Callithrix jacchus: one gene and its partner. Each later gene encodes a partner of the first gene's protein in a complex. Links are inferred from orthologs where the notes say so. Each region holds a gene or a part of one and is shown in the gene's direction. Other genes may lie near its edges.

Region 1 (4,552 bases):
TCAAGATTTTCCTATAAAAATGAAAATATGCCATAAGAAAAGTCAATCTTAGTGTCTTCATCTTCTCCTGTTCTTTCTACTGTCAAAAATATGCATGAAAGCTTATTTATTCTAAAAAAAAGTTCTTGGCTGCCCAAGTGAATTTGTGGACTTTTTGCAGTAAATCTATAGGAGTTATAAATTGCGAATCCCTCAAGACAGTCCTTATCAGCCAAATACATTTATTATTATTATTATTGTTATTACATGTATCCATGCAATACATATATATGCATAAATATATATGATATATTATTATTAAATTTATAAATTATCAGGGTGGTAGTGTCAGTGCAAGAAGGGATGTATCTGGAGTCCTTAACTCAACAAACAATTCATGTGCCAGAGAACAGATAAGCACAATGATAAAGCAGACTTGTACTCTGCCCTTAAAGAGTCTGTTCCTAGCCTGAGTAAAATAGGCTTCGATTGCAGGCATTTAACTGACTTTCTCTTCTACTAGTAGATCTGGTAGGCTTTTTGAGCAGTGGCAAATAAATAGTTCAAAAGAAATGTATGTTAAAATCTTGTTAGAAACTAACATAGTGTACAGATTAAGAGCACAGATTTGTGTGCCAAATGTACTGGATTTGATTCATAATTCTGCTGCTTCCTAGCTTGATGACCTTAATCAAGGTTTTAAAGCAGTCTATGTCCCAGTTTCCTCATCTGTAAGATGAGCCTATGCTAATAGTACCTATATCACTGGGTCAATGTAAGGATTAAGTCATTGTGAAGCACTTTTAAAAGTACTTGGCATCTAGTGAGCCCTATGTAAGTGTTTATTAATAAACAATGCAATTTTTAAAAGAGAGATTCCTACCTTATGGCCATAGATTTGTATTAATTCAGTCTAATTTGTCATCCCTCTCTGGAGGTAATTTCAGAGTCAGGTTAATGGGCCAGCAATTAGGCATTCATTCCATGAGAATTTTCTTGATTGAGCCCAAATATATTATGCAGAGAGATAATGAAAGCATATCTAAACACCTTCAGAAACTAAGACTATTCTGTAGAATCTTATAACTTGGTTGGGCCTTTAAGAGCATATAGCTCAACATCTTCATCTTACAAATTAGTAAACCAAGACCAGAGAGTTAAGTCATTTTCCCACAATTACACAACTAGAGAGGAGCTTACCCACTAGAATTGCCTTGTCTCCCTGGTTCTGGAGACCTAGTTCCTGTTTATAAGTTTCCTAGGCCTCCCTTTGTCTCCCTGTGGCTTATTGTAGAGTCAGAGGCTGTCCCAGAAACCCAGCTTACAATAAATTTGTGCATACTCTTCACTCTCTTTGTTTCTCTTCTCTGCCCTTTTCAGCAATTCACACCATTGCACATCTATTTAATGTGGAATGGTGTGTGAATGCCCGAGTCAACAATTCTGATCCTTATTCAATAGCACTCTCTGAACTTGGAGACAGGCCAAATGAAACTTATCTCAACTTTGCTCGAAAGAGAATCAAGGTAAGCCTCTCATTATCTGATTCAGATATTCTCTATGTCATTATTACTGAGGATTAGATTTCAGTGAGTGAAGACCTCTACTTTGCCGAGAAAAAAAAGTTGGCTAACCATCAGAGGGACAAGTCTGTAGGTTATAAGAATGGGAGTATAGAAAAAAATGTCTCTCACACTCCTCATCCCATGTGTGGAGGTCTCTAGATGTTTTCCAGGTCTTTAAGCTCATCCATGAGAATGTGCGCATGTGAGGCCTGGAGTAACTCAGGCTTACCTGTGACTATGCCCACCAGTCAGAGAAAGCTGCGAACACAGTCGAACAAGGTTTGGTTTATTACTTGCTACAGCAAAAGAAATCTAACACCTTGAGGAACTCTGGGCATCTCAAGGGGATGTAAAGTAGAACATGTTATAAGATTTAGGATTCTGTTAGATGGTTTAGGGGAAAATTTAAGAATGCAAGAATTTTCTCTGGATCAGTTATGGTCAGGAATTTGGGGTAGTTCTCAGATTAGGTATCTTAATTATTTTTCTTAGGAGGCAGCGGGAACAGAATAGGACTAAATCTATAATAGGAAAAGAAGCAGTAGTCATTGTCTAGGATCAGACATGATTTTGGAGAGATTTTGTTTTTATCTCACTCTATCACAGTCACAGAGTGACCTCATCTGATGTTGGTGTTTTATGAAATTATTTATGTGAAGTAGCGAACATCCTGGCCTAAGTATTAGTGTAAGGCCAGCCACCAGCTGACAGTTGTCAGTGATTCCTTTGTCTTTTCTTACAAACAATATCTGAGGGATGGCCTATGTCTGTTAATTGTCATTCCTTGAGAAGCATAGGTACACTGGGAGTAACTCAGCAGTTCTCTAGAAGCAGCCAAGAGGGTATCTAGAAGAACTTCTTCCATCCCAGCAGCTGTCAAAGCTTCCTACACTCAGAGACAAAAGCTCCAAGTCTTCATGCACCCAGTGACTTGGGAAGATGACTAAATCACATTAATATGCACTGAATTCCAAAAATGTTTTCTTGTGTTTAGAAAACATCCTTAGTTTTGGCCGGGCGCGGTGGCTCAAGCCTGTAATCCCAGCACTTTGGGAGGCCGAGGTGGGTGGATCACAAGGTCAAGAGATAGAGACCATCCTGGTCAACATGGTGAAACCCCGTCTCTACTAAAAAATATACAAAAAATTAGCTGGGCATGGTGGCGCGCGCCTGTAATCCCAGCTACTCAGGAGGCTGAGGCAGGAGAATTGCCTGAACCCAGGAGGTGGAGGTTGATCGCACCATTGCACTCCAGCCTGGGTAACAAGTGCGAAACTCTGTCTCAAAAAAAAAAAAAAAATCCTTAGTTTTGAAAAGTAAAATTGTCCACAGACTGATATGAGAAAAACTTGTCTGATATACCTAGGCACAGAATTAAACACGGAATTAAGCATAATAAAAACCAGATTTTTTTCTACAATATATTGGGTAATATTTCTTTTAAATTGTTTATTGTTTGCCCAATGATACATGAGGGTGGCAATGGGAACATAACTAGGTAAGCCTCCGCTATCATGTTCTGGATCACTTTTACTGTATCTATGTTCTCCCACTCTTCTAAATGTTTCCATTTTCAATAACCTGTAACTGTGTTTCTTCCTCAGAGGACTGCCCAGGGGCTATTAGAGTCCCCTTGCTTACAGGCTCAGAGACCTTGGAAGGTGGGGGCTGGGGGGACTGAATAGTTGCCTGTTCCTATGCAATCCTTAGCCAATAACTGGTGGATGCAGACTATAAATGCCTGGCTTCCCTGCCTTGAGTCAGGATAAACTCTGATTTGTAACTTACCCTCCAGAGTTCCCTTGCAGGGTCAGGTTGAAGCTATTCCCTGGGAGACTGCCTGATTTCACCTCCTTGCTTGACTTGCTTGTCTTTTCTATCTTATTCCCCACTCTCTTACCAGTTTCTTTTGGACCACATCTTTTCTAAGTCACTTACCCATGAAGTCTCATCTTAAGATCTGCTTCTGGGGAACACAGCTGATGATATTTGGCATTCCTAGAATATATTTGCAAACTAAGCACTATCACCTTTTCAAAATCAAAGGCAGAAAGAGCCTTCAGAAACTTTTAGGACATCTTATAGTTGATTGAGTTCCTTTATTTGATACCCCCTAATAAATAACTATTTAAGTATATCAATTCACATTTCCTATGACACCTTAACCATGTAAGACACTTTAAAATTTAGAAACATCTATTTCAAGTCTATATCTCTCTGTGAGGGATGATGAGGATTATTCAAAGAGGGAGTGGAAATACCTATTGTTCTATACATTGGACACTATATAATAGTCCTGCGTTTGAGATTTGAGAACCTATAATAATGTGTGTTTGTGTGTGTGTGTGTGTGTGTGTGTCTGTTTATATTTTACAGAACCCTGAAGGAGGCCTGTACCTGGCTGTGACCCTCTTGGCGGGCATCACTGGAGTTGTCATCACACTGTGCCTCATATTAATTATCACCTCCTCCACCAAAACCATCCGGAGGTCTTACTTTGAAGTCTTTTGGTACACACATCATCTCTTTGTGATCTTCTTCATTGGCCTTGCCATCCATGGAGCTGAGTGAGTGTTTAAACTCTGTAGTCAAAGATTTCATGTCCCTCAATGTCTAGGCACGATGCTCTATTAGAGGCACAGTGACCTCCTTGCCTGTGTGTGGTTAGCCTGTCTGCTAAGGGAATGTGAGGGGACAGCAGAAGTCAGTTTGGTAGAAACCACTCAACATTGGCATTTTTGTTTCATGCACACATGTAATTGTTATTCATAGTGCAGTTATTTATAGCAAGCTTGAAAAAAACACCGAAGTCTGAGTATCCTTAGTATAAAACATGTTGAGAGCACTGGTAGGATCCAGAAAATCTGCAAAGATGACCCTTATGGTTTAATCACTAGTCAATTACACAAACCTCCAAACAAGACCAGTTAATGATTAATTGGTTGAAAAGGTTTGTTATAGTATAATAAGTTTTTATTTAAGCCCACAATCATTTATTTGTTGCCTAC
Region 2 (5,075 bases), on another chromosome or scaffold:
TTGACCAGGATGGTCTCGATCTCTTGACCTTGTGATCCACCCTCCTCGGCCTCCCAAAATCTGTTCCAGGTTCTAATTTGGGGTACCGCACTGCATTTAATACGTTATCCTTTTGTTTTTTAAATTAACACGGAGGTTGCCCTAGGGACTAGCAGTGGGTGGAAAAATAAAGGGGCAGTGAAGGAGGAAGCCCCAGGGTGGCCACAGGGAACGCCTGGCGTCTCCCACCCAAGGTCTCAGCACAGCGTATGCAAAGCGCGTTGGAGAGACACTGGTTTGCTGGTAAGTGTCACAGTTGACTTGCCCGGTGCTGGGCAGGCGCTTTAGGAAGTTGTGTTTTCCTCTCTGTAAAAATCAGTGTTGTGAACGCAGTAACTTGTGTGAACTGCTCTGAAAGGGCTCGGCCTCCAGGAGCCTGCTGAGAATCCTGGGCTCTGCCAGCCAGCGGGCCCTGGCCCTCTGCACACTCCTGTGGGATTCCTGGCTTGTCCTGAGGGACGGTCCAGGGTGGATGACCAGTGGCTCTTCCTCTCCCTGCCTCTGTCCCTTCCCCCTGGACCTGGAAAGGCGTGGGGTTGGGGAGTGATCACGACGATCAGTGAACTTGGTGCCAACAGGGGTGATCGAATGTTCTCCCGAGTGTCCTCGGAGAGCCCTCGTGGCTAAGGGAGTTCCCTGAGAGCTGGAGAATGCAGGCTTTGTCCCCTCAAACAGCAGCTGGAGCCAAGAGCTCCAGTTGGAGAAGAGCTTGGAGTAAACTGAGCGTCAGGGTGGTTTCAGGCTAGGTGGTCAAATGACTTCTCAGACCGTCAGTTTTCACATCAGGGAAGTGGGCCACAGTTCCTAGATCCAGAGTGCCTGGTGACCCAGGGCGGCCTCAGGACAGGCTTGGTGCCTGTAGGGCACTGCCTGCCACTTCCCCTCAACATGCCTTTCTCCATCTGTGGACCACACCTTCCCTTCCTGCCTCATCACTCCCCATCCTCCCACACAGGCCCTTCCCTGGCGGAGCCCCTGGGTCCTGGCTCAAGAAATCTCCGTGAACCTGGAGTACCCTCTTTAGAGCAAATGTTTCAAGAGCCAGCTCCAATGCTGCTTGCAGGCCCCCAGCTCTCCCTCTCGGTAACACTGAGGTCCTCTCTGTAGAGTCCCCATTGCCCCAGTCACTTCCTGCCTGCTTTCTAATCTCCCGTGATGAAGTCCTGCCTCCCCCTCTGCAAAGGGTGTAAACTCCAGGGACCAGCTGTCTCTTGTATCCTGGGATCACTAGCACCTGGTAGTATGTCTGGCACACAGTAGGCACTCATTAAATGCTGTGCTTAGAACTGAGGTGTACTTGGAAGCCTCACGTTCTTGGAGAACAGCCTCTGGGCCTGCCCAGTGGTCAGAAATTGAGCCTCCTACCACAGAGGGGAGGCCGGAGGTGGGGGGCTGCAGGGATGGCCAGGGCTCAGCCAGCACCTGAGCGCCCCGCCCACCAGCTGCTCCTCCAAACCGAATGCTCCACCCCCTGCAAACGACCTTGAGGGCAGCAGCTTGGGTAAGTTCCCCTTCCGCTTCCTCCCACCCCACCACTGCTGCTCTTCAGCAGGCGCCTTGCCAGCCTCCACACCCCTTGTGCCTGCAGAAACGCGCCTGGCCCTGAGCTGTCACCACTGACACTGTCCAGGCCCCGGACACGATGCAAGCCATCAAGTGTGTGGTGGTTGGAGATGGGTAGGTGCCTGGCTGGACCTCCTCACAGCCCCCAACTGGGATGCTGTGAGATCCTCCCGCCCTGGTGTCCCTGGGGAAGCCCCTGGCTCTGCAGAATTAGGTGTCCCTGGAAGGCAGCTTGGAGGAGTCGCTTCATTCTTCTCCTAGGGCTCACAGCTAGCACCCCGGGGTGGGCTGAGGACAGCTTCACCCTCTTCAGCCCACCCACCCTGGAAGCCATCTGGGTGGAGGGTGCAGGACTATGGCTGGGAGTGCCCAGGCCCCTTACCTGCACCCCCAAAGCTGGGGGCAGGTCTCCCACGGAGGTGAGCCTCAGCCTTCAACTCTGTGGATGCACCCGCGAAGTGGGAAACCAGAAATTCAGCCTTCGTCCCCAGGCTGACTTGGGCTCTCGTCACTGGTTTGGTGCTGCTGTGTGGCCTTGGGCAAGTCACAGCATGTCTCTGAACCTCAGCCATCTGGGAGGAGGAGGCCTATGCCCTAGGGATGCTGTGGGGTCGCTGGACATAAGCTGAGTGGCTGTCTTGCTTGTAATGTGTGCTCAATAACCACCCCCTGCTGGTACCACCCCCCCCTCTCTCTCCCTTCCCCTCAGCCTGCTGGGTTGGGGAGGATGTGTGGGGGATGTGGGCGAGGAGCAGAAGGGGCAAGGGGACGTTGAGAGACAGAGAGGAGAGGGAGGAGGTGGCCGCAGGATGGGAGGGCGATTGTGGGATCTGCAGGGGAGGGGCAGGCTGGGCTGACACCTTCTCAGTTGTCAGATCCCAGTGACCCCCAGGCTGTCATGTCTCCTGGGGAATCTCGGTTTCCTCATCTGTAAAATGACGAGTCTAGGCCAGGTGCAGTGGCTCATGCCTTTAGCCCTAGCGCTTTGAGAGGCCAAGTGGGGAGAGTTGCTTGAGACCAGCCTAGGCATTCACAATGAGAACCCATGTCTACAGAAACTTTTTTTTATCTTTTTGGCGGGGGGGGGGGGGTCTCACTCTGTCACTCAGGCTAGAGTACAGTGGCGCAGTCTTGGCTACTGTAGCCTCCGCTGCCCAGGTTCAAGCGATTCTCCTGCCTCAGCCTTCTGAGTAGCTGGGATTACAGGTGTATGCCACCACACCTCCCTAACTTTTGTATTTTTAGTAGAGACAGGGTTTCACCATGTTGCTCAGGCGCTGGTCTTGAACTCCTGACCTTGTGATCTGCCTGCCTGGCCTCCCAAAGTGCTGGTATTACAGTCATGAGCCACCAGGCCCGGCCACAAAAACATTTTTAAAAGCTAGGAGTGGTGGCACGCGCCTGTAGTCCCAGCTATCGGGAAGCTAAGGTGGGAGAATCGCCTGAGCCCAGGAGTTTGAGGATGCAGTGAGCTATAGTTGTGCCACGGGGTGACAGAGCAAGACCTGTCTCTTAAAAACACAAAATAAAGGGACAGGTCCCGTTTGTCAATCTGTCGTGCCTGCCAGCAGCCATGTCTTAGGGTCCAACCCACAGGCCCAGCTTGGGGCTTTCTGTAAGTCCATCGCAGCATGTTCTAGCTGGAAGGAGCCTCTTGTCCAGCCCTCCCATGCTACAGAGGAGCAGCCCAAGGCTGTAAGAGACTCAGCTGTCCTGGCCTGGGTCCTGTGGCCCCCACTTTGGCTCTGACTCATCCAGGTGGGGGTGGGCCCGTTTGCCCACCAGCCTCAGCTGATTCTGATACATGGCCGCTTATCTGCCCACGCCGGCCCGGGCCTGTTCACTTCTGCTTTCTATCTGATCTGAAGAGGGGCAGGCGGAAGTCAAGGGTTAACGTCCCAGTCATTCAAAGTTACCTCGGGACAGGCCCCGGGGAGGACTGTGGTAGAGAGGAGAGGATGAGCTGTCTCCTCTGAGCAGGAAGTGACAGAACCAAGCAGGGCAGGGGAAGGCCCAGAGCTGCCCCTTGGTCTCCGGGCTTTGGCTGAGCTACCTGCACCTGCTCCCAGTCTCAAATGCTGGGGGTGGGGGAGGTGCGCAAATAATGACGTTCTCCGATTACCGATCCCTTCCTTCCTAGGTACCAGCTCTGGGGTTAGCCCGGCCTTCTCTATTTGTCCTCTCACCAAACCTAATAGGTTTTTACAGGTGGGAAAATGAATTCAGGGAAGCTATGCAGTTTGCCCAAAGCCTCACAGGATTTGAACCCAGCCCATTCTGACTCAAACCCTGGTCTAGTAACTGCTCTGCTCCATGGGGAGGTGAGAGGGAAGAGCTGGGTCAGGCCTTCCCTAGCAGCCACCGGCTGCTGCCGTGCGTCAGGCCCTGTGCTAGGTGCTTCGATAGGCATCGTTGGATTTATTCCTCAGCACACTCCTATGGGGATGGGCTCATCCTGATTTTCTAGATGGAGAAACTGAGGCAGAGGCAGGTTAAGTGACTCGTCCAGGGTCATGCCACTGAGCTGGGATTTGAAGCCCAGGCCAGGCGTCGGGGCCCCTCGGCATGGCCTGAGTTTGTGGGGTACCCCCTCTGTGTGACATCTCTGGTCCCTGGAGAAACCTGTGGGAAATGCAGATTCCCAGCTCTGCGAACACCTGTGGGTCAGAATCTCTGGGGCTGGACCCTGAAGTCTCCACTTTAACAAACACGCACAGGACCTGCAGGCTCTCAGGTGTGAGAACACAGACATGGGGTGTCTCAGACAGGGAGACAGGGCCCAGAGGGCTAGGCTGGGTGGATGCTGAGGTCTTCGCAGAGGATGGGGCAGAAACCTCCCCATGTCTCCAGCAGAGCCCATGATCGCCGCCCTCTTGCACTTCCTGTCTTTCAGGGCCGTGGGCAAGACCTGCCTTCTCATCAGCTACACCACCAACGCCTTCCCTGGAGAGTACATCCCCACCGTGTGAGTTCCTGGGGACACGCAGGTGCTGGGAGGAGGGGAGAGAACGTCACCAAGTCGACCCGCTTTCAGGCACTTCCTGTGGGCCAGACCCTGTGTGGGCACCCGATGGGGTGCCAGAGCCACAGCCTCCAGTGGAGCAGAGCTGCCTGATGGTCCAGCCAAGAAGGCAGCACTGGCACTAAGAAGTGCTGGGGGTGGGGGGGGGGAAGGGGTGGAAAGGGAGGAAGGAAGGAGGCAGTGGCCTTTAGGCTGGGTCTCCAAGCAAAGCGCTGTAGAGGAAACGGCGGGCTTGGGCAGGAGCAGGGGCTGGGAGAGGAGCCTCTGTGGAGGCAGGCTGGGCTCCAGGAGGAGGTGATCCAGAGGGTCTGGCCCCAGGGAGCAGGGACACCTGGGGCCGTGGCATGCTGAGGGGCAGAACAGAGGCATCTGCAGGCCTCAGAGGCCCTGCGCTCTATTGCAGGACGTGGAGGCAGGGCTGTCATTGGACATGGCGGGAGTGTATTGGCGT

What was found. Proteins that work in one complex are often made in the same cells at the same time.
Region 2: CYBB (region 1) and RAC2 share a complex: the UniProt entries of both Homo sapiens proteins name them as parts of the phagocyte NADPH oxidase complex. The link is inferred for Callithrix jacchus from reciprocal best matches to the Homo sapiens genes CYBB and RAC2.

What each region holds. Positions count from the first base shown.
Region 1 is NC_133524.1:38,573,246-38,577,797, forward strand, and holds part of CYBB (NADPH oxidase 2), read left to right. Parts: intron 1-1,359; coding exon 1,360-1,505; intron 1,506-3,920; coding exon 3,921-4,111; intron 4,112-4,552. UniProt on the Homo sapiens protein: Catalytic subunit of the phagocyte NADPH oxidase complex that mediates the transfer of electrons from cytosolic NADPH to O2 to produce the superoxide anion (O2(-)).
Region 2 is NC_133502.1:208,154,646-208,159,720, reverse strand, and holds the start of RAC2 (ras-related C3 botulinum toxin substrate 2), read left to right. Parts: upstream 1-1,570; 5' UTR 1,571-1,681; coding exon 1,682-1,716; intron 1,717-4,495; coding exon 4,496-4,567; intron 4,568-5,075. UniProt on the Homo sapiens protein: Plasma membrane-associated small GTPase which cycles between an active GTP-bound and inactive GDP-bound state.